Alligator mississippiensis: one gene and its partners. The protein of the gene in region 4 purifies or fractionates together with the protein of the main gene of each other region. This does not show direct contact. Links are inferred from orthologs where the notes say so. Each region holds a gene or a part of one and is shown on either strand. Other genes may lie near its edges. The genes, in order: TUBD1, PDCL3, TXNDC9 and CCT2.

Region 1 (7,028 bases), on a different chromosome or scaffold from region 4:
GACCATAATTGCACAAGATGCACTAATAGATGCCAACGTTAATTATGAAGGTTCAGTCATTTTGATATAAAAAGGAACTATTTGCCCTAAAATATATAGTTGAGTTTTGAAAAGTTGATTTGTTTCTTTTCCTTCCCTCTTTTTTTTTTTTTTTTAGTTTCAATTTGCTTCATTATGAGAGGAAGGAAAATATTTTCCCCGTCTATGAAGGCAGCCTAAACAGTGAAAACACAGATTAGCCAGAGCGCCACAGTTATTGCAAACAATTCTCTGGGCAAGCTTTCCAGTACATTTTTGTATATATAGTTGTCCAATATCTAGTTAAAATATCCCCTTTAAAGAAATCAGCTTTTGGTAGAACCAAATGACTTGGGAAAGTGGGAACAGATCAAATGAATGACTTGTGAAATTTCATGGGAGCAAGGGGGGGAAGCCACACAGAAGCCTGAGAACTGCAGACTAAACTAAACAGTACTTTTTAAATTATTCCATAAGTGATCACCTAAGCCAAGGAAAAGTAGAAGCTCTAAGTAGTTTCCAAATCAGGTAAACACCCTGGTAAACAGAGAAAAGTCGATTTTGCAGGGAATGCACTGAGAGGGAATACAACTCCTGAACTCACAAAAATCACTAATTGTGGAGTCATGCTTTAAGTCAAGTGTATTTGCAGCTATTTGACAATTAGTGGGAAAAGCCCAGTTCATAGATGTCCACTTTATAAGAAAAAGCACTGCAATTAGCTCTATAATTACAAACCCAGAAAAAGGGGAAAGGATTGGCTGTTCATTGAGAATGAACTCCCTACTCCTCCTTAAAGGTTCTCTCCTTAAAACAGAGCTAATAACTCACTCATTCTTGCAAAGCTTGCACTCCTGTCGACTGTAACTGCTCTCATTCTATGAACAGATGCATTCATTTTCCAAGTCTTATTTTTACTTGCATCAAATTCACTTTTTAAAATAGATTTTTAAAAAAATCACACTGTTCATCCTGGAAGCTAGTCTGTAAATACATCATGCATCTTCCCTTCTCTTGTCATCTCATACAGACAAGAGTTTGAGAACCAATTGTGTCCCCCCTGGGTGGCTACTCTTTGGAAACTATTTCTTACATGCAAACTCTCCAGTCAAAAGGTCTCACGTTTCACTTCTGAGGATTGTCATGTCCGTATGCAACACCTGTAACTGCAGCTGTTCTTGCTGCTGCTGCCAGTACAGCTTTCAGGAGTAAAAATGCTCTATGTACAGGACTGTCTAGTTCACACTAGCTTTCTACCCAGCTCATTTCCAGGTTGGCGATTTTAAGTTTTCAGTTCTATGCATCTTTCTGTTCCCCCAAACCACACATTATGCTAACTGGAGGCAACTTTCAGTAAGATGCTACATTCACGCTCTTCTAGTGCTTGCTCCCTTTACTCCCCAGTGCATTCTCCACTTCAGAATTCGAGGAAAAATACAAAACCATTGTCACTCAGCTCCTGTTCTGCTCTTCTTTCCTTGCTGATTATTTTCAGCATTACCCAAACAGTGAGTGCGGGTATGTGTCATGAACTTGGGAGTCCCACAGAACTCTTAGTTTGTCCATCCTGTCTGAGAGCTGTTTGGGCCCTCACCACTACTGCCAACTGTGCGCTGCAAATATTCCTCCTGCACAAGCGATAGACTACAATCACAGCAGTCTACCAACTACTGTTTAATCCACTGAAGTTAATTCTTGCAGATTCTAGGGCAGGAATTTGTTCCCTCTCATGGCTCATCAAAATCTGTTTTGGTAACCCTCGGGGTGTGATGCAAGGGACATTTTTGCCAGGCATTTTATTGACTACTGATGTACAAGCCCAGGGTTTCTTCCCACAGACTGCAAGTTATGTTGCCTTCAGTGGACAAGCAAAATTGTGTCTTTTCTTAAAATCTCTTTAGAGCAAGGGTGTTCAACCCCTAGCCTGCAGAGCCATGCCATCTGGCCCACAGGGGTTCCCAGGGGTCCAAAACTTTGCCAGTGGGAGTGCAGTGGCACCAACTGTCACTCCCCTTCTGCCAATTTCCAGACCCCTGGAGAGCTTCATGCACTGCACAGCACACTGGATCAGTGCACAGAGGTGGCCTAGGGCCTGATCTGGGCACACTGGGGCCTGATGGAGGCGGTGTGGGGCTTCAATCTGGGGCTAAGCAGAGGCAGTGTGGAGCCTGATCTGGCTCATGGATGGGCCCCTTGCCACTCATCTGGCTCGTGGCCCCAAAAGATTGAGCACCACTGCGTTACAGCAACCAGAGGCAGTGATGGCCTCCAAATAATCCAAATGAATACTAGTAAGAAAAAGGTTTTACATCACACTGAAGACAGAAGATTGAGCTCAGCTTCCCGCAGGCTAAATACTAGGAGCTCAGAAAAAAAAGGCACTTTCACTAGTATATTGAAGAGACTGTACCCTTGGTTACTCTTCTGTACCTACTATTCCCTAGATTTGGAGGAGACTGGAAGCTCAGGGAAGACTGACTTCCCATGTGTAAACTTTCGACATGCGCAAGGAAATGTTTATTTCCTACATCAGACTGTTACAACAGTCTATTAACTAACTAACTAAATAAAAAAAATCAATCAATCAAATCTTCGAGCCAGAGTAAAATAGGTGCTTTATTCAACTTGACGGCACACAGCGGCAAAAAGATCATTATTGCTAAACAGCCAGACAGCCAGTAAGGACAGTAGGTCCTGCTACGTTATCAAGGCAGCAACCAAGTTTGGCACCTTGTAACTAGCAAGAAAAGCTTTAAAAAAAAATAAAAAAAAAATTAAAATGTATGCATATATTTAGCACATATGACGCCATTTGTCACAAAACCACACGGAGCGAGGGCGCAAAGAGTAAAACAGACTGAAGTTACATCCCTAGCTCCAAACCAGTCTGGGGGCACTGTCATGCGTAGTTACGTCTGCAAGTTTGTAGGTAGCCTCCCACCCCACGTGTTACAAACACGGGGGATGTTTGAAGACATCCGAATAGCACCTAGAAAAACCGACGAGGAGGGCACAGTTCCCTAACCCTCTCGTCGCCCCCCACCCCGCTTCTTTACATTTAGTTTTCCTAATTTCTACCTATTTTCACCCTCACGGACATCCTGTCGCACTTTTAGCCTCTCGCATCCCTTAGAGATCTGAGAAGAGCGGAGACTCCTGAAGAAGGGCGACTGCACCCAAAAGCTTGCAAACAACTCCCCCTCTCCCCACCCCCGACGACTCAACTGTCAACGACTGGGTCCAATGAACGGCACGCCGACTACTGCTACTCGGTGTAATAAAAGACAGCAGTGAAAGGTAACGATAATAATAATATTAGTATAACGATAACGATAATAAAGTCTAATCAAAGATATCGCATCTGCCCACAGCACTTCCACAAGTTTAAGCCTCCCCCGGCTCTGAGGTGTCCCCAAAACGGATCCCCTAGGCTGCTACCGCTGCATGGGACACCGCTCCGCATCATTTGGGCTCAAAACTTTAAAAAACCCAAAACAAAACACCCTCCTCCCCCCCCCAAAAAACATCCCGAGGTAAGGGCAGAGGGGGGAGGGTGATAATGCCAGGAGGATGCGAGGGCTGAGGTGCAGCAAGGTGTCGGCCCACCCCCCGCCATGGCCGCTCCCGTCCGGCCCGGCCCCGCGCCTCACCCCCTCCTCCAGCTCCTCGTCCGAGCCCGCGTCCTCGGGCTGGTCCAGGTCGATGTCGAACACGCCCGCCATGGCCGGGCCGCCGCCGCCGCCGCCGCCCCTCCCTGGCTGTGCTGAGTGCGCGGGGCCTGCTCCGCCTCATGGGCCCACGCCCCTCAGCGCCGCCGCCGCCATCGCCGGCTCCAGGCCTCAGCGCGGCTGCGCCCCCACCCCGAGCACGCGGCCCGCGCAGGCGCCCCACGCCGCCCGGACCCCGCAAGGCGCATGCGCCGAGCGCGCCCTGGCGCCGGGGGAGCCCCTGAGCATGCGCGCATTCCACCGGGTGCTGGCACAGAGCAGGCGCAGAGCGTTCCGTGAAGCCGCCACACGGGGCCGACCTGCCCTCAATCCCCTACCCCCTCCGGCCCAACGTGCGCTCTCTCGGAGCATGCGCAGAGCGGGGTGTTCAAAGGGACTTCAGGGCCTCCGGCGGTGGGCTGGAGTGTGTGAGGGGAGTCCGCGCATGCGCCCTGGGGGGGGCTCCTGTAGCAGTTGTGCTTCGAGGGTAGGTGCTGAGGGGATGGGGGGAGGGGTCATGGGGGGCCGAGGGGTTTGGAGGGGGGCCCTGCTCTGAGAGATTATGGGGTCCTGGGGGGCAGAGGAATGGGGCAGGTGCGGGGGAGGGGCTCTGAGGTGATGAGGGGTGCCAGCAGCCCTGTGCCTGGGGGTGATGGCGGGTGCCCAAGGGAGTCGAGCAGTGCAAGCCTGGGGCCTGGCGGCTCCGTGGGAAAGGACCTGGGGGTGACCGCGGACAGTATGCTGATTACGAGCCGAGCGCACGTTGTCCAGACGGCGAAGGGGGCTCGTCGTGAGCAGATCGAGGGACGTCGTGTATGCCCCTGTATTCGGCGCTGAGGAGGCCACGGCCAGAGTCCTGCGTCCGGTTTTGTGACCCCCCCCCAACCCCCCGCTACAGGAAGGATGTGGACAAGTTGGAGAGGGTCCAGTGAAAACGGTTGGGGGACTGGAGCACGTGACGTACGAAGAGAGGCCGAGGGAAATGGGCTGACTGAGTCTGCAGAAGAGAAGACCGAGGGGGACTGAAATCCCTGCCGGGCGCCGCACAGAGGAGGGAGCTGGGCTGTGCTGGGGGGGGGGCAGATGCCAGAACAAGGAGCAACGGGCTCACGTTGCAGCAAGGGAGGTTTAGGTTGGATATTAGGGAAAACTCTCCCCCTAGGCAGGGGGTGCAGCGCCGGGACAGGTTACCCAGAGGCGGCGGCCTCCCCGTTCTTGGAACCGCGATACAGGCCGGGTCTAGAGCCCGCTGGGTTACTGCTTGTACTTTTCGGTCGTGCTTTTTGTAATTCACTAAAGCAAAAGCCAGAGAGCAGAAAGAATTTTTCTTTATTCTCCACGTTAATTATTAGAGTCGACTGCAACCTTATCAAATGATATGTAGCAATATAAATGCTAATCCAGCTGGCTTCCTAGGAATTGTCATCCATGCTCCTGAGCAGCTGCTGTTCACGACAAAGTGCTGACTGCCAAAGTTTCCCTATAAGCAATTTGTTTTCAGTGCTCCTTAACTGGAGGCTGTCAACGCTGTGCAGCATTCCCTTCAGTCCTCTTTCCCATTGCAGAGAGTAATTCTGTTCCAAAGCTAAATGGGCAAAATCTGACTTTGTTTTAAGCCATATCTTAGCAGATTTAAGAGGAGGTAGAGATTAAAGAGACCAAACTGATCATGCCCTGCTCTACCTCACCCCTTACATGCTCAGCAAGAGAATATAATCATTCCTCTGCACCCTTGATAAAAGTATACACTGTTATATACCTGTATTGATACCTTGAGTAAGTATTAACTTAATATTTAGAAATGGGGAGACAATGAATCGTCCACGGGCAGTTGATTTAACAGTGATGAATGCTGAATGTGTGCATAATGATGCTTATTCTTTTGCCTTCTGTCAGTTTAGCTCTTTGTCATTGTTGTGCCTGTATTGCACATAAATTCTCAGTTATTTGAGGCTGGATCCTGGGATGTTTTAGATCTTTCAGAAGCAGGAGCCCGTTAACAGCTGTAGAGACAGGATTACTGGTGAAGTGATCACCAGGCAGGTCACATCAGGCATGTTTCAGCCCTGCTATTGAAAACAAAATGGAGAAAAAGATCTTGCTTCCCACAGTGGGGAATGTCAGGACTTAGCATCCACAATTAAACTTTTATTTCTAGAATTTCCTACTGTTGCTACCATCAATACAGTCCCATCAGGGGGAACATTATAATACAGCCTAGTTGGCAGCATTTTACATCTCATTTCATTTACTAGATTAGGTAACCCACTAGTTTACAATGCTTGTATCTACGTTAGTGCTTTTACAATTGTTAGCAACAACATAGCTGAACCAGTGGCCACAACAGTAGGAAACTCTGGAAAACCAGTCTGAAAACAGCATTGCAGGCAAATAATTTCCAAACTATCAGTCTGTTCTTCATGGGTCAGCAGAGATTTGCACATGTAACAAGTCAGGGTGGCGCTGTAGCATTAGTCAGTGTAGTTCACCAGGGGTGAACTTAGCCATTAAGTTCCAGTTAAGTTTAAAAAAAAAAAAAAAAAAAGCAGTCCAAGGTCCACCTGAGCCTAATTGCTACTAGCATAGTTAAGGCACGCCAAGTGCTGTAGCCATCAGTAAACATCTGGCCACCTTTCAAATCCTCACCCTGATGACTAAGTATCCATTTATAGCTGGGTCAACTGGGAGCAGTCTTTGGCACAAGCCCAGAGTAAGGATCAAACTCATCTCTCTCGAGCCATAGTGAGACACCTTAGCCACTCTGTCAGCACAGCCTGGGAAGATGGAGAGGCTCTTTGAAATGAGACTGCCTTCAGTACCACATAAAACTCAGGGAGGCTGATTTTGTTGGCTTGACTAGCAGTTGGTGGGAACAAAGTTTCCTGCCCAATCCTCACTGAAACACATCACTATCCCTGTGGGGATGGAACGTGATTGTTGACTGCAGCCTTCTCCAAGGAATTTCAGCTACTGGATCAACACAGTTACACAATTTAAGTAGTTTGGGAAAACCTCTAAACATAGGGTGAATTATATCTGAAAAATCAGTCTGTTCTCTACCCAGGTTACCGAACTGCTCAACAGCTGCCTACTCATGACTTGTTTTAGCCATAGCAAATAAAAGCATACCTCTCTTTTTTTTAGGATTAAATCCAAAGTGAAGAATGTCAGTAGTCACAGTGCAGCTTGGTCAGTGTGGTAATCAGATTGGCCATGAGGTGTTCAATGCTATCTGCAGCGATTTCCACAGTACACATGGGCTGTGCTCCAAGAAGGAGAATGAATCCTATCAGGAAGCTTGTA
Region 2 (7,859 bases), on a different chromosome or scaffold from region 4:
AGCAAACACAAGTTGGTGAAACTATTCATGTACCTGAAGCTAGGCATGGAAAACTGTCTGCAAGTCCTCATCAGGAAATCCAGTCAAAAGCAGGCTAACCTATAACCAGTTGGTACATTTATCATTAAAAATTGTTGTGATACAATTATTATAAATTTTAATACAAATTAAAAGCCCAGAGGCACCTAAATACTCCTAAGGATCTGGGCCTAGATCCATTCAAGAAACTCTCAGCAACCTATTTAAAAAAAAAAAAAATCAATTTAAAACATTTTTTTAAATCAGTGCAATAATGTAGTAAGAACCTTTATTATGATTTCACCCAAGTCAGTATGCAGTCAACTTGAAAAAAATCCCAGATAAACTGCTTCTACACCAAAATAAGAATATCTACATTGAATTTTGCACTGTTTTATAAGTATATAGCTTAAACTAAGCTGGTGTGACTGAACATAAGGAATCTAAAATTCCACAGGTTCTTGTCCGATGCAGTAGAAATAGATGATGCCTAGGAAGGAGATGATCAAAAAACTTAACACTTAGATAGAGGGCTAAATGATTCAACAGCTCCTTTTGATACCCCAATGGAAATACAAACTAACTTGGAAAAAAAAAATACTGTTTTCAAACAAAAAGGTGCCATTGGATAATATTGAATATTGTTTTATAGCTTTTTCTCAGATACGCGTAAGACATTGGAAAGCTGAAGAGAAGTCCAACTCACAAAATATCTGCTTTAATAAAACTCTACTAATCAAAGGAGCCATAGCTGCATAGCCAACAAGTCTGCAGAAGGCCAGGGCTAGCTTCATCTCTCCAGCTCATGTCACCAACAAAACTGCAAAGCTCCTGTTATTGCAAGGTCAAATTCTGTGAGTGCACAACTAAAGGCAGAAACTGGCCAGCAAAAGTTGCATGGATGATACACAAAACAGAAACTTTCCAAGAAGACTTGCAAAGCTTTGGGCATATTTCTAAGGCTGCTGACTGGGAAAACTGAACCACGTTCTTTAGTTTCTTCTAAACTTGGCAAAATTCATTAGAGATCTTAGAGACACTCCACTCTTCTCCTCAGCCAGTTATGTTGCAAGCCTGCTATCATGGAAGGGCTGGTAGGCTCTTTACAGACCACACTGAAGACAGTGCAGGTGCTCAGGGAACATTTGTAGGGACTGTACAGATCTGAGCGTCAGCAGAGCCATCTTTGCCAGAGGTGCAGAAGTCTGCAAGTTTGGTTTCCTTCTCTCTCCTCCTAGGGTAGCAGCTTTCAATCCTTTCAGACTCCAACCCCCTCCCCTCAGCAAATGCCAGCTCTTGCCTTTCACCTGTCTTTTGAAATTAGGAGAACAGCAGAGCTGGTCTTTAGCTGCAAAGAACTCAGAAAGACCCTAGCAGGACTGAATGGCCACGATGCTATGGGTATCTATAGCAAAGCCCTGGACTTTTCGCGACTCATGCTGACCAGGGCTGACAAGACTTTTCAAAGGATCTCAACGCACCTTGGCGGAGAACCAAGAGCAGCGAGCGTTAAGTACAGCAGTTCTGGAATAAAAACCAGGGACAAGACAACAAAGCCAGGCTGGCGGTCAAGGTGGGGCTGAGATTGGGCCCTGGTGACAAGAATCAGAGGGCCTTGTTACATGGTAATGATAGGCTCCTCCTAGAGCTCTTAAACCCTGGGTTGTCCGCACATTAACACCTTGAAGTGGTTTTAAACCCTTGTTATGTGGTCCAGAGTTATACCACTCCAGGGCAGGATTCTCTTTCCTCTGCACTACCCAGCTCCTGTTCCATTTAGGTGTGCCTGCTCTCCACAGATGTGCTGCCCAAAATCAAGTCCTCCAGGATCTCTCAAACCCCTGCCTGTAAAGTGTGGACAGGAACCTGTCCTGGTTCACCAGCCCTCCAGTGGCAGCTCACAGCTACAGCTCCCCGTCATAGCTGTGCAGGCAGGAGCCACTCAGGAGGTGGTTTCTAGATCGAGGGTGCGACTGCTCCAAAAACCCAAGCTACTATAACACTGATCAACATTAGTGCGGCTCCCAGCGTAAGTGAAATGAGGCCCTCCGATGGACCCCAGCAGGGCTGAATGGCTGTGACACTACAGGTACCAATAGGGATACCCCAGGCTTATCCTGCCACTCACGCCAACGGGGCCTGACGAGACCCTGGAAAGGACCTGGGGGGGCAACCCTGGTGGAGAACCATGGGCAGCGAAAGCTATGTGTTGGCAGGCCTGGAAAAAAACAACAACAGAGAAAGGGCAACAAAGCAGCATTACCAGGTCTTAAATATGAAAGTATTGTGTTGGAAGCTCAAAATGATCGTATTCGCTGAAAAACTATCGTGCCCTGAAAAAGTCGGCAACGAAGACTTCTTATTTACTTTATATTGCTCGTTATAACTCGCTAGTGAGTGAGGAAGAAGTGAGTCAAAGTTGAAGCATTACTTTATTTCAAGGCAAGCGGGCACAAGACAGTGCCCCAGAGTCAGTTAAAACTCCCAGGAATGACCCGGGTTCTGCATCAATGAGCTGCCTCCAACATTATCCTATATTTTGAACACTTCTTCTCTTACAGATCGCGCATCTGGCAAGGGTTGAAATGATCGCACAAATCCGAGTGGTCGGACACCCGGCACCACTGCAACAAACCCGGGCTGGCTGCGGCGGTGGGGCTGAGACTGGGCCCTGGTGACAAGGATCAGAGACCGTGGGTGGGTGGATTTCCTCTCCCTCCCCCATTGGCTTGGCTCCCCCTTGCCCCTGCGCGCGGCAGGGAGGCGGCCGGGCGCGGGGAGCCGGGGCCCCGGGGGGCCGTGCAGCGCGCAGGGCCCGCGCTCACCTGCATAGTGTCCGCAGCGGGCTCCGGCCGCCGGCGATCGCCGCCCGGGACACGCACGCGGAGAGGGCGGCAGCAGCAGCGGCGGCGGCCTACTCCCCGGGCCGGATAGCGTGTCACAGCGCCGCACCCGCTTCCTCCTTCGCCTTATAAGGGCTGGGGCCGCTGCTCTGCCTGGCCGCACGCTACGAAAGACCGAGGGAGGCGGTGGCGCAGGCGCAGGCGAGCAGCGAGGGCTGCCCGGCGGCGGGGTTACCGCACAGTTGCGCTGCGCTACCCGCGCCTTGCGCTGGGCTCCGGAGGGAATTGTTTCACACCTCCACCCTGGGGACTGTCACACACACACGCCCCTCCCCTCGAGGAAACTATATGTCTCCTATCACAAACACACCCTCAGGATGTGTGTGTGATACTCACACCCCCCTCCCCTCAAGGAAACTGTCTTTTTGTCACATACACACACCCTTGAGGAAGAGAGAGAGAGAGAGAGTGTGTGTGTGTGTGTGTGTGTGTGTCTCACCCCCCCCCCCAAGTAAACTTTCTCAAACCCACACACACCACCCTCCCTCAAGGGAATTGGCAATGCCAACCCGACCAGCACTATGAATGAAGAAGACCCAGGGCTCATAATACACCATAGTATGAACATAAGCTGGCAGTGCGATGCTGTAGCCAGCAGGGAAAACAATACTCCGGCATGCATCAACTGATGCATCTCTAGCAAAACCAAGGAGGTGATTCTTCTGCTCTACTCAGCACTGGTGAGACTGCAGCTGGAGTACTGCATCCAGTTCTGGGCATTGCACTTTAACAAGGACATGGACAAGTTTGACAGAGTCCAGAGAAGAGCCACCTGTATGATCAGAGACTTGCACAGCAAGCCATACGAGGAAAGGCTGAGGGATCTGGGACTCTTCAGCCTGAAAAAGAGATGAGAGGGGATTTGCTAACAGTCTACCACTACATCAGGGGCTCAGTGAACAACTGTTACCAGGGCACCCTTAGGGGCAACCAAGAGTAATGGCCAAATTTCCAGAAGGCTATTTCAGGCTCAACATTAGAAAAAACTTCGCTCAGGGTGGCCAGACTGTGGAATAAGCTCCCTTCAGAGGTGGTGCAATCACCTACCCTGGAAATCTTCAAGAAGAGACTGGAAGGTCACCTTGCTGGGGTCGCCTGACCCCCAGTTATCTTTCCTGCCTGGGGCAGGGGGCTGAACCCGATGCTCTTCCAAGGTCCCTTTCAATCTATGAATCTCCTGCCCCCTCTCAAGGGAACTACCACATGTACACTCCCTCAAGGGTGCACTGCTCAAAATGAGGGCAGGGAAGCGGGTAGGAAATAGCTACACTACATTAGTTAATATCCACCAAGACTGTGTACCTCTTCTCTAGGCACCTGCTACCTCCCTGTGGATTTTTTTAAAGAGCTATAGGTAATAAAGGTGAAGAATCACTTAATGTCTCAGAAGTCAGGGTCTAAATACCATCATCTAGAGGAGGTTCCCGAAACTGTGGGATACATAGTCCTGGCAGTATGCAAGACATCTCTGGTGGGGGAGGGGGGTACGCAGGAGAAATTGTGTAATGACAGATTTAATTTTCATTATAATAATTTGCATCTAAGGAGTTAAAATATAAAATATATGCTGGAATGGGAACATGGGCAGCTGGTAAATCTGGAAGGGGGTACATAATAAGAAAAAGTTTAGGAACCTCTGGTCTAGAGTGATTCTTAAGTTCAACTACTACTTTATGCACTTGTAGATGTAGACTTTTAGATAGATATAGATATACACACCTTCTTAAATTCTATGCTACATGGTTAACCCATTAGCAACAGTAGGACTTCTTTCATGCATAAACTTCAGTAGGGCATAAAACTTGGCAGGCTTGGGGCCAGTGTGTATTTACTACACAAAAAAGATGGTGCAACATAATCCAACCTCAACAAATAAAAAACAAAACCCACAGAAATTCAACATGTTATGAAACACTGAGACTCTTAGCCTTTTTATCTTAAAGGGGAAAAAAACAAATCTTATGGAAAGGCTAAGAATATATGGTTAACTAAAATTTTCCAGTCTAAAATGACAAGAATATTCCAAATTAATCAAGGGCTGCAATTGCATAGATTTTAGTTATTCTTTTTTCTCCCCTGCTGTTGTTTCTTCTCATAACAGCTATATAAAGAAATGAAAGAAAGTCCCAGCACTTTATTTACATAAGTGGGATTCGGCTATTTTCTTGGGTTGCCAGACAAAGACTTAGATGAGTGAGACTAAGTTAGTTTCAGGCTAAGGTACCATTTCTGCAAGCACTTTTGGAAATGTTGCCATCCTAGAACTATTCATAGGTACAGATATTCTCCACACACCTGGTTGAGTGAGTATGGGGCATCTGATTATATTAACTTAATTAGGAGTAAAATTAAGTAAAAGTTTACAAGACTGAAGGCTTAGATTGTAAGACCTCAGGGGAAGGGACTGTTTTTGTTATGTTTGATGTACTTAACAAAATGAGGTGCTACTACTGACTAGAGCCCAAGACTATCACAATAAAATAAACAAATAAACAGGCATGTTAGCAATCCTGCATCTGTTCACTGCTAACAGATCTTTGATGTGTTGAAACTCATTAAGACTAGCACCTGGCAACATTTACTTTGAAAAAAACATTTTGGAATAATAGTTCCAAACTAAAACTTTGCATTTCAATAAATGACATTATTTCTCTTTTATCAAATTATATGAAAACACATACTACACTAAGTTCTGGGCATGTTGAAGCTTTTTTGCCTTCTCCCAGAACTGTTAGGAAGCATCCTAGCACTACTCTTCCTTCTTATTAAAAGCCTATGCTTTTTATATACATCCAGGATATTGTACAATACCTATCAATTTGGTACTTAAGATCCATGGACAATTAAGTAGTAACAGCAGATTTGTTTCTCACCAACCCACTAAGAGGTCTGTTAGAATAGAAATTTGATTTTGGATATTGTATAGATGTTTGGGGCACAGTGCTTTTGAGATAAGGATTTCTCAAAAAGCTGGCACTTTAATTTTAGGTCCAAATATCCCACCTAGTGACAACCACATGTGAACTGTGCAGCTGCCACATTCCTCCAATCCTCAGTTATATAGACCAAAAGGTTGTTTTAATATGAACAATATAAACTTGGCCATCACTCCCCTGACTGTCTTTTCTGGCCTTGGGTCCAGGGGTCCTTAGTAATAGGAGCTATGAAGTGCAATTTACTGACAAAACAAAATAGATAATCTTACTGAAGCCAATCTCGTGCAACAGGCTGCTTGGAAGCCTGGCAGACAGACAGCATACAAAGTTTCTGGGGCAGACGAGAGAAAATTGTAAGGGCTAGGCCACATAATCCTCTTATGTCTACCTGGAGTTTAGTGGGTTGTCAGAGAGAGATGGAGACAAAAGTCTTTGTCAAGGGGTAATCACAAAGTAAATAGATTATGAAGTGAGAGAAGATAAATAATGGAAGCAATAACCCCCCCCCCCACCAAAATGTAGCTCTTTACCTTGGTTTCATTTCCCCACTCATTTGTTCCGTTAAAGAGCTGCATATTGAGTCTAGCAAGTAACACCTTACCCCCACCAGCAGGTCACCTCCAGATAAGCTAAACGCTTGAAGCAGATGCATGGGAAAAATCCAACCACATACTGCAAGAAGATTAACAGTCAGTCACTGATAGTAGTTGTAGTTCACACCAGGTAGAAAACACACATGCTTACTCAGGCTAGGCAAAGTTGACTTATGCCATGGCAACATGCTGAAACCATGCCAGTTTGGAAAACCAGTGTAAGTCTTTACTATTCATTCCATCCAGGAAGAGCACACACCAACTGCAGATGCTTCCTCAGCCTGATGAAGGGTATTTATACCCAAAAAAACTTGCTAAGAAGAATGTTCCAACTATTTGCTTTGGTCTAATAAAAGATATCAGATTTACCCAAAGAACCTTGTCTGCCTAGGTTGTCCTTAGACCAACACAGCTATAACCTACATCACAGTCTACATGCACACATTTAGACTAATTCTGATGCAATATCAAAGTGGATGCTTATACAGGGGCTTGCCACAGATCACATCGTAACACATACATAAAAATAGTACAACTTCATATTTTGTAACTGTAAGAGGCCTGGTCTAAGTGACGAGACAACATACCTCAGTAATGTTGGCAATGCTATTTTGATTTTATCCCCCATTTAAAGATAGGGCACATCAAGGATGCTCCTCACACGACAAGGAACAAGGGTGACAAGGAACAATGGTAATAAGCTGATGGAGAATAGGTTTAGGTTAGAGATCAGAAGACAATATTTTACAGTTAGGGTGGCCAAAATCTGGAACCAACTTCCCAGGGAAGTGGTCCTTGCCCCTACCTTGGGCAAATTCAAGAGGAGGTTGGATGATCGCCTGTCTGGGGTCTTGTGAACCCAGCTTTCATTCCTGCCTGTGGCAGGGGGATCAGGCTAGATGATCTGTTCAGGTCCCTCCTGACCCTAGCTACTATGAAACTATGAAGTCATTCTTTTTATACTCAAGTCCCCACTTTTGTTTCACTACCACTATTGTACTCTGCAAGGCAACAGGCTGCTCAATACAGATTTACTCCCAATGTATAACACTGAAATAATTCAGTTGATAAGAGAGAACAAACCCAGGCCCCCTTTCAGTTTTCAAGTTAGTTCAGCATCACAACATCCCTCGCTGGAACAAACTTTCCAACTTTACTGGGCAACTTTGTAGGCCAGCAGCACTATCAAAGCTTTTCTGATTTGGTCAAGAAACATAACCTATGAATGGCAAATGGAGAGAACCTCCATCCTCTGAAAATCCACTTCAAGAAATAAAATAAATATCCTGGCCAAGTCCCTCGGTAAACAGGATTACCCAAGATAACCTGCTCACAGGAAACAGGTATTCTTATACCATTTGCTCCACTGAAGGTACTCCTATTTGCATGCTTTATTCTATTAAATACCT
Region 3 (6,878 bases), on a different chromosome or scaffold from region 4:
TTGTCAGATGCCAACAGGGCAAATTTATAGCTCCTCAAGATTTTCAAAACGAGCGGCATCACTACAAGGTCAGCAAAGATTACTGCTAAACATGAGGTCAGAATTTAACAATGCTGGAGAAAATATTACTTGTTTCTGCTGCTGGGCTTTCTTCAGAGCTTCAAGTCTCCTTTGTTTAACATGTTCCAAATCATCTTCATCCATTTGGTCCAATTTCTGGATCTCAGCATCCAGCTCTTCTTCCACTATCTTGGTAGTCTGAAGCATCTGATTCTCCAGAACTTTTTGAAACATTTCAACAGAAGGGTTGGTATCCATTTTTCAGGATAGACAATAAACTTCTTACAGCTATGAAAACACAAGTCATGAAATTAGAATTAAACAACACATAATAACACCCAAATAATTAGGGGTGCACTGATAGAGATTTTGGGGGCTGATATTTACGGAGGCATATCGGCTGATACTGATTCAATTTCCAATACAGCTTCCTCCAGTTGGTAAGTCCAGTGTGGTGGAAGGGGAATGGGGAAGGAAGGGGCATGGGGGGGGGCAAATCAACACCCCCCCTGCAGTGAGGGAGGGGCCAGGAGCAGGCACTGCCGGGGGGTGCAAGGGGGGGGGGTGCGGGGCCTGGAGCTGCAGCTCACAGGGAGGGAGGTGGTTCCTGCTGCTGCTTGCATGTGCCCCTCAAATCTGCACGGGTCAGGGCAGGCTGCAGCCAGGGGTGCGCAGGGCTTTTCTCAGCGGGGGCTGGATTTGGAATGGGTGCCAGTGGTGCTGGGAGGATGCTGCATCCACCCCAAATTTCACTGCCGCTCTACTCCCAGCACCGCCAGCCTCCCAGCACAGCCACAGATCAATGCCCTGCCTCCACCCATGTGCTGGGAAGAGCTGGGCTTGGCGCCAGGCAGCTGGTGGTGGCAGTGCTGGGAGCAGAGCAGCAGTGAAATCTGGGGTGGATGCAGCATCTTCCAAATGCGGCGGCACCCGCTCCAAGCCCAGCATCCATCGACAAGAGCCCGGCGAAGTCCTGGCTGCAGCCTGCCCCATCCCCATCCGGCGGGCACATGTGCCCCCTGTGCCCTTCGGGAGTACAAAGAGCAGCAGGTTCTCTCCCCCTCCTCAGGCAGTGCCTGCCCCTGCCTCTTCCCTCACCACAGAGGTGGGGTTGATTTGCCCCCCCCATGCCCCTTCCCTCCCTCCTCCCTTTCCATCACACTGGACTTACCAGCTGGAGGCAGCTCTCCATGCTGCCAGGCTGTGCCCCTTGCTGCCTGCGCTGCACTGCGGCAGCACACAGCACGGGCATTTATCGGCCAAATTCTCGGCTCCATCAGGCCGATATCTGATACAGCCAGTTTGATCCGATATCGGACTGATGTATCAGTGCACCTCTACAAATAACAATACCAAATAATAAGCCATTTGTTAAAATTTTGATCAGGCCCATTTCTTGCTGCCCTACACTCTACAGGACAGCAGTTCTGAACCATTTTAGACTCCAAACACCCTTTGTCAGACTCAAGACTTCCCCTCAGAAAATGCCAAGTCTTCGTTTTAATTTTCTTTACTCAAAAGACAAGTTACCAGAGCAAGTCTTTTACTGCAAAGAACTTGAAAAGACCACAGTAGGTCAGGATGTTTTTAACACTGTGAATTCCCATTTGAAATCTCTGAGTCTGTCTTGTGAGTCATGTTTGCAAACCTAGCTGTACTAAGAATATCTCAAAACACCCCAAGATGCCACGGCTCCCTGGTTGAGAATCACTGCTTTAGAGAAACAAAGCAAAAACAGCCTTTACTATTGGATTAGGAACTCATATGCAAAAAGTGATATCTTTCAGGATGACATGCAACTCTGTAAACATGAGCCTTGCAAACAGGGGCAATGATGAATCCAGTCACAGCTGATTTTCTCAGTCCCTGGCTCAGCTGTTGAAACAAGACATCCAGCCTAGTGGAGAAGGAACAGTTCCTTTGCCTTTTCAGCAGGAAGAAACTGAAATAACCTGTTTCAAAGAAAAATTTATCCTGAGCCAGGAGACCTGCATGAACTAAAAGTGCTCTGAGGAGCTGTCAATGTGGAACAGGCTCTGAGTTTCATGAAGGCTAGATGAGACTTTCCAGGAAGAGTCAAAGAAAACGAAGTTTTCCAGCTCGAGCCAGGAAAAGGAAGGAGGAAGAGCTCACTGCTCCGAAGAGACAGCAAGGCGCAATGTTTTTATCACAGGCAGGCAAGGCTCTTTCGGTAGATGTGATATCTTTTAAAGATATCATACCTAACCAAGGAACCTTGCCTGCCTGTGATAAAAACACTGCACCTCGCCATCTCCAAAGGACCTTTCCTACCTATGCCCTTAGACCAACATAGCTACAACCAACACCCGTGGCAGGGAGGAAGCCGAGCACCAGGTGTGCACACCAGAGCCCACATTTACATCCCTGCCAGTTCTACCAAACAGTGTGGTCTGTAGCTTTGGAAACACAGCTGGCCCTGAGTGTGCCCACCAGGCGCAGGCCTACACATTAACGGTGGCAGCTCAGGGTCGAGAGCTAGACTCCGAGGAAAATGGGGCCTCGAAAGTCTCCAAACCAGGGGTGTCAAAGGCAGCCAGGCACCTGGTCCCCGGGCCGGATCCGACCCAAGCGGGGCGCAGCCTCATGGGGCGCATGCGCAGTGCAGGAGGCGGCTGGGGAAGGGGCACACGGGCCTCTCCCGACCTGGGCAGCGCGAGCGCGCTACTACGCATGCGAAGCGAGACCGTTACACCCCCCGCCAGCCCGGCCGCACGCAGCCTGACTCCACAGGCGCCCCAAGAGGGGGAGGCGGCGGCGCTGGCGCAGGAGACCACCTGACACCCTTGCGGCCGTTGCCCCCCGTGCCGCTTACCCGGTCCGCGCGCCGCCCCGAGAGTCCTACGCCAGCCGCACTCCCAGCTCCACACCAGCGTAGCAAAAGCGAGTAACAACACAAGGAGGCGGGTGGGGCTAGGTCCCAGTATCGGCCTCTCTCATTGGCTGTCGCGTGTGGTTACGTGAAGGTGCGCATGCGCCTCACGGCAAGGCCCCTAGACAGGCGGGCAGCGCTCCCCACTCCTCGGTTGTCAGCTGAGGCCTTCGTGACGTCACTGAGCTCCGACATGCATTGCGCCTCCCGCCTACATTTCCCAAGACCCTTTACTCCCCCCTGACCCTGCTGTTTCTGGCGTGCGCTGCGGCCGCCCGACGTGCTGTCTTATACTGCGGCCCAGCCGCTACGGGGAGCCCCGGCCCGGACCCAGGCTCTAGAGCGGGCGGTTAAGCGGCTCCGTGGTGCCAGATGTACGTTAATTATGCTGTTTCTACGATAATTTCAGCCCTTGCTCCATGTACAGTCAATTACAGGAGACGTATTCAAAATGCATGGGGAGGTACGAGGTAGTCGTCTTGGTCTGAGACCAAAAGAAATGCAAAAATCTAGAACTCTTGGTTCAAAAGCACTACCTTTTATTAGACCAACTGAATAATTGCGAAAAAAAATATCTTTTTTCTGCGAGCTTTCAGGCTTACGCGCCCATTGTCAGGCTCAGGGAAAGTTCAAGATGGTAAAACATCCCCATATGTAGGAATTAAACTTCATTTTTGCACAGAGGAAACAGAAGCTGGAAGCCTGTCCCTCTGGCTCCATGAGAGTGTCTTTGTGAGGTTGCTCTTTGTTGTGCAGATCAAACAGGATTTCTTCCCTGGTGGTGTCATGGTGGGTGGGGAAGGTATCAAAAAATGTCCTTGTTGCTCAGCAATGTAGTTTATCATCCAAAATCGGCTAAAATTTGGCATCTTCCACATTTCAGGGATGAATTTATCTTCAAGAAAATGGGATGGGACTGGGCCAGACTCCCTTTTCCCTGCGTAATGAGGTTGGGGCTGGGCCATGCCCCTTCTCCCTGTGTGGCTGGATGGGAGCCAAGGTGCTCCCCACCCCACTGCACGTGGCCAGATGGGGCCGTGTCGCACCCACCCCAGGCGATGGGTTTGGACCACAGACTGGGTCCAGACCACAGAGGGTCTGGGCTTGCCAGGGGATAAGGTTGAGTGCCACTGTCTTGGAACATAAAAACTGCCATTTACTGGGTCCGACCATAGCTCCATCTTGTCCAGTCCCAGCTTGGTGAGAAGATGTGTGAAGATGTCTGGTTGTGGAAATGGGGGCAAGGGGCTGGGGAAAGGAGGTGCTAAGTGGCACCACAAAGTGCTGCATGACAACATCCAGGGCATCACCAAGCCCTGGATCCATTGCCTGGCCTGCTGAGGGGGCATGAAGCACATCTCAGGGCTTATTTATGGGGAACCTGGAAGGGTGCTGAAGGTTTTCATAGATTTCATAGACCTTAGGGCTGGAAGGGATCTTGAAGATCATCAAGTCCAGCCCCCTGCCTCAGGGGCAGGAAGTTTTTCCTGGAAAACGTCATGTGTGATGCCAACACATACACTGAACAGACCAAGAGGAAGACTGACTGCCACGGACATAGTGTATATCCTGAAGCATGGGGGCTACACCATGTATGGAGTTGGCGGCTAAGCCTCTTAGAAGAAAGCTAGAATTGCTGTTCAACCCAAAGGCCTGTGTCACGTAGTGGCAGAGTAGATGCTGAAAGGGAGAGTGAGTTGGGTGTGCCCAGGGTTTTTTGCATGGTTCCTCTCCCACTTGCAGCCTTCCGCATTTAAGGAAGGGGTGGGCAAAATGATGGATCTGGCTGGTTGCTGGACTCAATTTCCCAGCAGCCCCTGCCTACATCTCTGTGGCCAGTTTCCATGGAGACCCCAGGAGCCCTGATAGTGTGGGGCTAGGGTTTCCACAATATCGCTGGCAGGGTGCACAGCAGGGCAGGGAGCTGCTCTGGGGCTATGGCTGGGATCTTGCAGTGGTGCCAGCATGGCGCACCGGGGTTTGCGGGCAGCAGTTTGCAGCTCAGCCCCAGCTCTGGAGCACGTTGTCACAGCCACAAGATCCTGGCCTCTGCCACCTGCAGGCGGTTACCGTACCCCCCCACACCCAGCCTCTGGGGGCAAGTGGTGTTCATGGGTCAGGGATTGCTGGGAAATGGAGTCTGCTGCAGGGCCGATCTGGCCCATAGGCCAGCCTTTGCCTGCCCCTGATTTAAGGTCTAACAAGTTCTGATTCGGAGGCTGTGTCCTTAACTGTCATGCCCAGTACCTCCCGATGTTCCTTTCTCTCCAAGAATTTTCCCAATTCCTTTTTCTTTTATTTTGTGTCTCAGGCCAAATTAGCCAAAGCCGAATCAGTTCTGAATTCTGTCTACTGAGCAGAGCTTAATCATTCAAGTCCACGTGATGCTACCAGTGGCAAGTATCCTCCCTCCCAGACTTCAGCCTGGGGCTTCAGGTACGCCCAAATCCATGGCAGGCATCCTATGTGCAAGCCCCAAACCCAGAGGCCTTGGGGTTCAGATGCCCCCTAGTCTCACTTGTCCCTAGCCAAAAGACTGTCAGAGCAAGCTAGAGGGAGAGCCTGTGAGCAATCCCCCATCACCATAAATTGTGTAGCCAGAGGGAGACTGGATGATGGTATGCCCCCAAATTGGCCAGTCTCTTTGACCACAAGCAGCTGGTGTCTGTGGTACTGAAATACAGAGCTATTTTTTCTGGTGGTGTTAAGCAGCCAGCTTAAAAATAATGGCAAGTTTGTCCCTGCGATCCAGGACTCTCATTACTGTTTTCTACTTTGCTAGCATAAAAAATGGCTTATCTTCACCCTGCCACTGTGTGTGTTGGGGGAGTGGGGGGGGGGGGGGGGCGTTGTCTGCATGTTTGTGCGTGTCTCTGTGTCTGTGTGGCATGCACCTACTGGTGTGGGGGAAGAGTGTCCTCTTTTTTGAACCTGGACATACGGTAACCCTACGCAGACAGAGAGAGGGGGAGAGAGCTTTTTCCCTATGGCTGTGCTGGGAGGCCTAAGGAGGTGCCGGCTGACCCACTGGACCTTTCTTGGGCACCTGGGCTAAGGAGATTTTCCAGGTGGCCTTGGTGTTTTTCCTGCTTTTCCCCCGCTCACTAAATGGAGCCCGTACAGAGTCGGGCTCGTGTCCTATTTTGTCAAGAATGAGCGACACCAGCCCACCCCGTCTCTGGTCCGGGGCGCCGTCGAGGTCCCCAGGCGGGGCAGGCCGGCGGCGCGGCCTTACTGCTGTTCCCCCGCCGGCCGCAAGGGGCGCGGGCGGCTGCACTGAGCTGCCGGGGGAGTGTCCCTCCTACGCCCGGGTCTCGCGCACTCGGCGAGCCGGGTCATGGAGTTACGGCGCCTGCGCAGTGGAGGTTTCGTACCATATGCGCTGGGTTGCGTGCGGATGTGGTCGGCCGGAGCCTGCTGAGGCGGACGCGGAGGGACGATCCCACAGCGCCCGCAGCCGCCGCCATGGGCAAGAAGCAGAAGGGCAAGAGCGAGGACAGGTAGCGCGGGGGGCAGCTGTATCCGCGGTGACGTCACCCTCGCGCGGGGGGGTCCGCGGGGCAGAACCTGGAGCTGTGACGTAGCGTTCCACGGAGGTGTCTCAGCGTTCCAAGGGGGGGGTCTCGGCGTTCTGCCCCGGGCGGGCGGGGGCGGAGTTCTGTGCCGCAGGAGCGGGGCTCGGGCGGGCATTTCCCGGGGGGGTTTGCGTGGAAGCAGGCTGAGAGCCGCTGGCCTGATACCTCTGCCTCGGATGCTGGAGAACAGAGCTGAGGAAACCCTGAGGGCTCGTTGCAAAGTGTGTGCTGTGATGAGGGAGGTGGGGAGGGTCCTTCTCTGAGTAGGGGTGGGACTAGATGCCCACACTCCTCCTTTCTGTGATTCAGTGTGGCTGTATGTGCTGGGAGAGAGCTTGAGGGCCTCAGGGAGG
Region 4 (7,034 bases):
TCATTGGCAAATAATCTGGATACAGAAAACAGGAGAAACAGAGGTAAGTATAAAAATTGTAAAAAATTGAAAATATAAGACATGAAACAATTTAAAAAATTAAACGTTAGTAATAAAGACAGCTCTCGAGGTTTTATTCTATCACAATTTGGGCACAGGGGTGGAAACTATGCAGACTTACCACAGTTTAGCCTGAATCCACTATTATTGTTTCATCTACCCATGGTACTTCCCTCTCCCCAGTTTCATTAAGAGATAAATTACTGTTTCTCAGCTCCATTTACAGAAACAAAAATTACAATAAATCAGCTGAGCAGCACTCGTGAGCAGTACATCTCCCATCCCAAAGAGAGACCGTTGTTTCATCCATGCAAGCCCACAGGTAGGCAGTACATTAAAGCTTACACCAAATTGCATGTTGTGTTAGCATTTGCTATACCACAGTACTCAGACACCAGAGCTAAAAGCAGCACTAAAAACATGAACTGTCAGTATATTACCCGTAGCAATTCTGCTGCCAAGACAGTTACAGACGTAGTTCCATCACCAACTTCATCATCTTGAACCTTTGAAATATCTTAAGAGAAAAAAAAATCATCACTATTAATTAATTGGTTCTAGTATCCTGCTACTCATTACAGACTTGAACTACGCATGCTTATACAGAATACTTGTTACCTGGAGCAGCACTTATCTGCATTAACTAATATTGCACCACCAACATGCTTTTAGTGAAAGCAAAGAGAAGAATAAACAAAAAGCAATATCCTTTAAAAAAATATTTAAAAGTATTTAAAATACTTCTCTGATGAACATTTAGCTAAAAACTCACCAACCAAGACCTTGGCTGCTGGATTGTCAACTCCAATAGCTTTTAAGATGGTTGCACCATCATTGGTTACCGTTACTGCACCATCTCTTCCAGTACTTAGGAGAATCTTGTCCTACAGGATGCAAGATTTAGGAAGCTACTTGAAAAATGTACTTTGTGTCATCAAGAGCTGCAAGGAATAGTAACAGTTATGGTCTCTAAGAACCTGCAAATAGCTTACCATGCCCTTTGGCCCCAGGGTGCTCTTAACTAGATCTCCAACAGCAATGGCACCAACAAAGGAGGACTGAAATGAAAGTGAACAAGCTATCAGAGAAAGAATCATCATTTCTGTTCTGAGCAATCAACTGAATCTCAGACTCACTGGAGAAGATATCATAGATAACAGTCACAATCTAGTATGTAGGGTGTAGCTCAGGCTCCCCTGCATTTAATTCACCAATCGATTGCTAGGAATTGGGATCACTGAAACCAAAAGAATACTTCACTGTCTTCCCATTCTCAATGTCTGACAAGCAGAGCCCTTGGCAACTGGGGACAACAATTAGTAGAGTTCTTATTCAACCCCCTAAACAGAGAACGCTCTGCAAAAGCGGAATCTTACTAGTCATAGAAAATGTAGTTTTTACAATTTAGCAAGCGTCTAATGAAGAATCACAAACTATATATTTTTTTAAAGTTCCAAATTGAGCTAAATTGTGGCCGTTTTTCCATGGGAACAAAAGGCATGATCCCGAAGTCCAAGCCCCCCTGACAAGCATCAAGTCCTTTCAATAAAACAGTTGCAAGATTTTAATTAATACAAGAAAAGTATTTCTCTCATTTTCTTCTCAGGCATGCCTGGATCATTTTTACTTGGCTTTTTTGGAAGGTTAATGTTAGGCAGTACCTAGCAAGAATAGTTTCAGCCTTAACTGATACATTTTGGTTATGAGCAATACTAGTGTTTTATAGCAGGAACTGCCAGGAAACCTTTTTTGTTATGTAGAAGGTGTAAGGAAAGCATACGAGATGTTATCAGTTTCACAGATGATTTAACTCACCAAACGAGCTGTTTCTGCTTTTTCTTCATCTGCACCTGCCTTGAAAATATTCACTGGAGCAAGGGAAAGGGATGCCTGAAACAAGAACAGTCACAAATCCAGCATTCAGCTTTAATATAATGCGTTTTTTTTTTAAAACGCACCTCGCAAACATGGCTACCACCAAAACCGGGATTCTCAATCTGGGAAAACTTGAGAGCAGGTTGGACACTTGGCTGGGAAGGGATGAGCCTGCCTCCAGTAGGGGGCTGAACTAGGTTGCACCTGGTGAGGTCCCTTCCAGCCCTACTTCCTTATGAGCAACAAGGAAAGCTTCCCCCTTACTGCTGAATCACAGGGCTGCAGCTATCCTTTCTGTCCAGTTGGATATATTTTAATAATTTATTTCATGTTTTTAATAACTGTAATAAACTCATTACTGCTGAATCACAGAAGTGCAGGGGTGTTTTCTGGCCAGGGCTGGATTACATTTTAATAGTTTGATTGTGTTTTTAATAACTGGAATAAGCTGTAATTAGAGACAATAACCTCCACTCAAGGGGGCAGACTGGAGTCGGGAGTCGCCGGGCAGGCGCTCAGCACCCCGCCGCATTGCCCAGAGAACATAAGTAAAACCCGCTCGGACTCGGGGAACACGCTGGACCCACTCCTTCATCTCTGCAGTTCCTCTCTGGAGGCCTGAGGCGGCGGCGGCGCCGGCCCGGCCCGGCCCGACCACTCGCTCCCCACAGGCGCTACTGTCCCGGGGCGCGCGGGCATCCAGCGCCCGCTCCATCGTGGGCACGTGACTGGGGGAGGGAGAACCCCGCCACCCTCGAACCTTCCAGACCGCCCCGCCCCGCTATCGGACCAGGGGGGAGGCGAGGCCGCCGCCGCAGGAGCTCGGCCGGGGCTGAAAAAGACCCACGCGGCGCGGACACAAGGAGCCGAGCCGAGCCGAGCCGGCCCCGGCCCCTGCGCGCGGGCGCGCCCAACACTCACCATGATGGCGGCGGCGGCAGCGCTGCGAGTGAAGCCTTCCAACCGAGCCGACCCCACGAGCCGCCTCGCGAGCCACCAGAAGTTGCGTTGCTCGTAAGCCGCCGGAAGAGGCTGGGCCGCCCGGCCGCTCGCCGCCCTCACTGCCTCTCAGCGCGCACGCGCCTTGGGGAGCGGTGCATGCTGGGAGTCGAGGGCTCCGCCTTCGGTTTGGCTGGTGTGCGCTCGCGGCGGTGTTCCGTTTGCCCCCGCCCTGGGGAGCGGAGACTGCCGCTGAGACGCTGGCACCCGTGTTGCTTCCCCGAGGCCAACTCACGGCGTGACTGGAACGAACCCGGTCTGGACGCGTTCCTCGAGCAGCAACTGACTGAACGTGTGGCCGCGCTACAGCTCCACCTGCGATTAACGTGGCTCCTCGCTGTAACGTCTCCAAGGAGGCTTCCCTCTTCCCGCCAGAGCTGCAGCAGGAGAGGCAGAGAGAAGGGAAGGCTGCTCCACAGTAGTAGGGTTACCATATTTCCAGTTTCAAAAAAGAGGACACCTGAGGGAAAAAAGGGGGTATACGATTGTAAGGGGGAGATGCTATGCCTGTGCCCTGCCCCTCACTTTCAGGCAACAGACCCATGGGTTACTGGAGCTTTTTGAGTCGGGGGGCACATGCCCCCCCTGCCACCAGTCAGTGAGGAGGGGGGCCCTGGTGGCCGATTGCACTGACCGATCTCGCTCACCAAAAAGCAGCCACTTCTGGACGGGCCCAAAACTGCATACAGTACCCTAAGTGCGGCCTCACCAGTCTGGACTAGGGCAGAAGGATCACTCCCAATGGTTTACAAGTGACTTTCCTGTTAATGCAACTGAAGATGCTGTTGGGTTTTTGTTTTTTTCACAGCTGTGAACCATTTACCCAGTCTATCCAGGTCATTCTGGATCCTAGTCCTGTTCTCTGGAGTATCTGCAGTTCTACCCACCTTGGTGTCATCTGCAAATTTGCTAAGCATGCACTTGATCTCATCATCCAAATCATTAATAAGATGTTGAACAATACTGGACCCAGGATAACCCTCTGAGGACTCGCACTTAACACCTCCTCTCAGCTAGAAATTGAGCACTATTTGCCAAGTATCCAACCAGCTATTTATGCACCTTACAGTACTTGTGTCTAGTCTGTATTTCCTTAGTTTGTTAATGAGAATGTCATAAGCCTTGCTAAAGTTCAGGTATATCATATTCACTGCTCTCCCCTATGCACAGAGCGTGTCACCCTGTCACAGAAGGAAATAAGATTGGTCGGGAATGACTTGCTCTTAGTGAACCCATGCTAACTGTTCCTGATTACTCTGTTCTCTTCAGGTACTTCACAATGGATAATTTCTTGAGAACCTTCTCCATGTTCTTTCCAGGTATAGAGGTCAGGCAGAGTGGTCTCTAGTTCCCCGGATCCTTCTTCCCCTTAAAGATGGGCCCTATATTTGTCCTTTTCCAGTCATCATCAGGGACCTTGCTTGACCTCCACAAGTTTTCTAAAAGGATTGCCAATTACTCTGAATTTACCTCAGCCAATTCCTTCTGTACCCTTGGGTGGATCCCATCCGGCCCTATTGACTTGAAAACACCTAGCTTCTCTAAGTATTCCCCAACCTGGTCTGCCATTACTTTCAGCTATTTGTCTCCTTCCATAATCACTGTCAACTGCACTCACCAGCTGGTAGTTGCCCCTATTTGGGCAAAATAAAGGCATTAAATACTTCAACCTCCTCTGCATCATCTGTGACTAGATTGCCTTCCACATTCTGTCAGGGACCTGTGGAATCTCTCAGCTTCCTCTTACTTTTGAGATACCTACAGAATCCCCTTCTTTGCCTTATGTCCCTTGCCAGCTGCATCTCAAATTGTGCCTTGGCCTTCCTAATTTTCTCCATGCATGCCCACAGGGAGTTAAAACTTTCTGTGTATTAGGAAGGTGAAAGAACTGAACACCACAATGAAAAAGATTAATAGATTTGGAAATTATGCCTGGTGCTATTAAGGCCTGCTTATTTTTCAGGCAATAGGTTGCAGAAAATGAGTGACTATAGAATGGCTAACGTAGGTGATAGCGTGCCAGAGACTGGAACAGCTTTTGGTCTCTCCCCTTCCCTCAGCCCCCACCAAAGGCAAAACACAGTAATATTAATAAAAAATTGTAAGTCCCACCTCACATTAGAAGTAATCCACACACACACACACAAAATGTAAAATCAATATTTTATTGCCATGCTACAATTTAAAAAAAAAAAATGAAGTTGGCACTGATGAAGGGGACAACATTGTCAATATTAACATTATACATTTTTTTAAAATGAACATTTGGTAAGCTCTCAATAATGAAAATGCAAACCAAAGATTAAATTAAATTCTAATATGTCAATTTGGAACAGCATAAAAATACATTATTTCTGCATAGTACGGTATCACTTTTTGTGAAAAAAATGGAATGTTTGTATAACAAATCCAGCAGGGCAAAGTTCATGGAAATTTCATAAACAATTTGGCAATGGTACTCCCACTGTTTAGACTTTTTTATAAAAAGAAATAAAAATCTAGAAAGCTACCTTTATACAAAGTTGTTATATTTATGCCTTTAAGTAGGAAAACAACATTTTATAATGCAAATTAGGACACAATAATCTTACAATATCATACAATGTAATGACAATAAAAACACAAAACATAGGATTTTGGCCTGTATAGAAATGTATATTTCTGCATTTAATAAATGCATTTGTGGCACACTGGTGCTACTGTACTACAACTACCAGTCAGCTTTCATACTAGAAGTGTATTCAGTTGTACTGTAATTGCAAATCTGTAGTTTAGTTTAGGACAGACAATGGTTCAGAAAAAACAGCCATAGGTTACATTACAATGGAATGGAGATGTTACATGCAAGAAACAGCAACATGCTGGCTGGCTGGGGGACACAGTTGCAGGATACCATAATACTATTTTCATTTTCAAACCAGAAGTATTTCCTATACATTCAGTCATTAAGTACCCAAGTCTTAAAAATGAAAACATCAGTGTTTAAGATTTAGCAAATTTCAGGGAAAATACGAAGTTAGTACCAAATATATAAAATGTGAGCATATGTCTACATACACATATATTCCAAGGCAAAAACTGCATTAATGTGGAATTAAGGTTGCTGATGTCCATTCCTAAATAAAAACATTAAAATATGGGTGCAATCCTGAACCATTTCTTTAGAATCACTTCCTCTTTCATACATAATAGTTCCAGCAATATACACACAAGTATAACTAAGAAAGCAGAATTCACATAGTAATCTAAACTCTGAACACAACTAATAGGAATTTTTGTTTTTCAGTACATGTAGTTAAATATATTTATATTTTTTACATTTTTTTTAGACCATTTCTGAAGAACTTGACCAACCAGGTCCTCTAGCGTAGCACAACCATTTTGCCAGCAAAATCTCATCTTGCACCTGATCCAAATGGTCACAGGTACTTTCCCCTTGGCTTCAATGATATTGGACTGGGGCCAAGCCAAGCATATTCAGCTCTTGGAAGATTGCCCCAGTACAAAAGCTGTCTATTAACAGACAGATTCCAACCACATAACCCCATCTCTCCTGCCAACAAAGTATGCAACTGGAATGAAAGAGGACATATCCCTTCTGCGGCTATGGGCCCTCTGGGTTGTTTGCAGATGGTGTGGGAAACATGTCTGCGAAACAGCCATGTACACAGTGACCTCCAGATCAGAAAGTGGAGGGGTGAGCTTCATGGCACCTTGGTATGCCGGCTTCTTAACTAGAACAGAGGATCTGGCTCTACTTCTTCAGCATTTTTTCTATCATGGTAGGACTCGGACATGAGACAGGATTGGGGCCTCATCATGTTAGGTGCTTTACAAACAAATAGGAAGACGATCCTTGCCTGGAAGGGCTCAGAACCTAATTATTAATTATATTTTTACATTATCTTCTTTGTATTTACACATTTGCTACATAAAATAGAATTACACCAAGGTAATGGATATATCAGAACACTTTGTCACAATATATGTATATTACCATACTAAATAATTATTAAAACTGCAATAAAAATTTCAAAATGCCCTTTGTAAATATATAAAAATATAAACGTGTGACATCTATTTAATGAATTTTGTAAGGT

The links.
Region 1: the proteins of CCT2 (region 4) and TUBD1 purify together in Homo sapiens (co-immunoprecipitation; 3 studies listed by BioGRID and IntAct, with this or other methods). This does not show direct contact. The link is inferred for Alligator mississippiensis from reciprocal best matches to the Homo sapiens genes CCT2 and TUBD1.
Region 2: the proteins of CCT2 (region 4) and PDCL3 purify together in Homo sapiens (co-immunoprecipitation; 3 studies listed by BioGRID and IntAct, with this or other methods). This does not show direct contact. The link is inferred for Alligator mississippiensis from reciprocal best matches to the Homo sapiens genes CCT2 and PDCL3.
Region 3: the proteins of CCT2 (region 4) and TXNDC9 purify together in Homo sapiens (co-immunoprecipitation; 3 studies listed by BioGRID and IntAct, counting the BioPlex papers as one, with this or other methods). This does not show direct contact. The link is inferred for Alligator mississippiensis from reciprocal best matches to the Homo sapiens genes CCT2 and TXNDC9.

What each region holds. Positions count from the first base shown.
Region 1 is NC_081837.1:3,663,949-3,670,976, reverse strand, and holds the start of TUBD1 (tubulin delta chain), read left to right. Parts: upstream 1-4,025; 5' UTR 4,026-4,212; intron 4,213-6,869; 5' UTR 6,870-6,889; coding exon 6,890-7,028. Other genes in the region: RPS6KB1 (ribosomal protein S6 kinase beta-1), read right to left, coding at 3,669-3,740. UniProt on the Homo sapiens protein: Acts as a positive regulator of hedgehog signaling and regulates ciliary function.
Region 2 is NC_081824.1:344,239,393-344,247,251, reverse strand, and holds the start of PDCL3 (phosducin-like protein 3), read right to left. Parts: upstream 3,010-7,859; 5' UTR 2,850-3,009; coding exon 2,844-2,849; intron 1-2,843. UniProt on the Homo sapiens protein: Acts as a chaperone for the angiogenic VEGF receptor KDR/VEGFR2, increasing its abundance by inhibiting its ubiquitination and degradation.
Region 3 is NC_081824.1:343,198,477-343,205,354, forward strand, and holds the start of TXNDC9 (thioredoxin domain-containing protein 9), read right to left. Parts: upstream 3,007-6,878; 5' UTR 2,894-3,006; intron 349-2,893; 5' UTR 319-348; coding exon 130-318; intron 1-129. Other genes in the region: EIF5B (eukaryotic translation initiation factor 5B), read left to right, coding at 6,416-6,450. UniProt on the Homo sapiens protein: Significantly diminishes the chaperonin TCP1 complex ATPase activity, thus negatively impacts protein folding, including that of actin or tubulin.
Region 4 is NC_081827.1:69,973,991-69,981,024, reverse strand, and holds the start of CCT2 (T-complex protein 1 subunit beta), read right to left. Parts: upstream 3,001-7,034; 5' UTR 2,860-3,000; coding exon 2,857-2,859; intron 1,951-2,856; coding exon 1,876-1,950; intron 1,119-1,875; coding exon 1,053-1,118; intron 945-1,052; coding exon 833-944; intron 578-832; coding exon 501-577; intron 1-500. UniProt on the Homo sapiens protein: Component of the chaperonin-containing T-complex (TRiC), a molecular chaperone complex that assists the folding of actin, tubulin and other proteins upon ATP hydrolysis.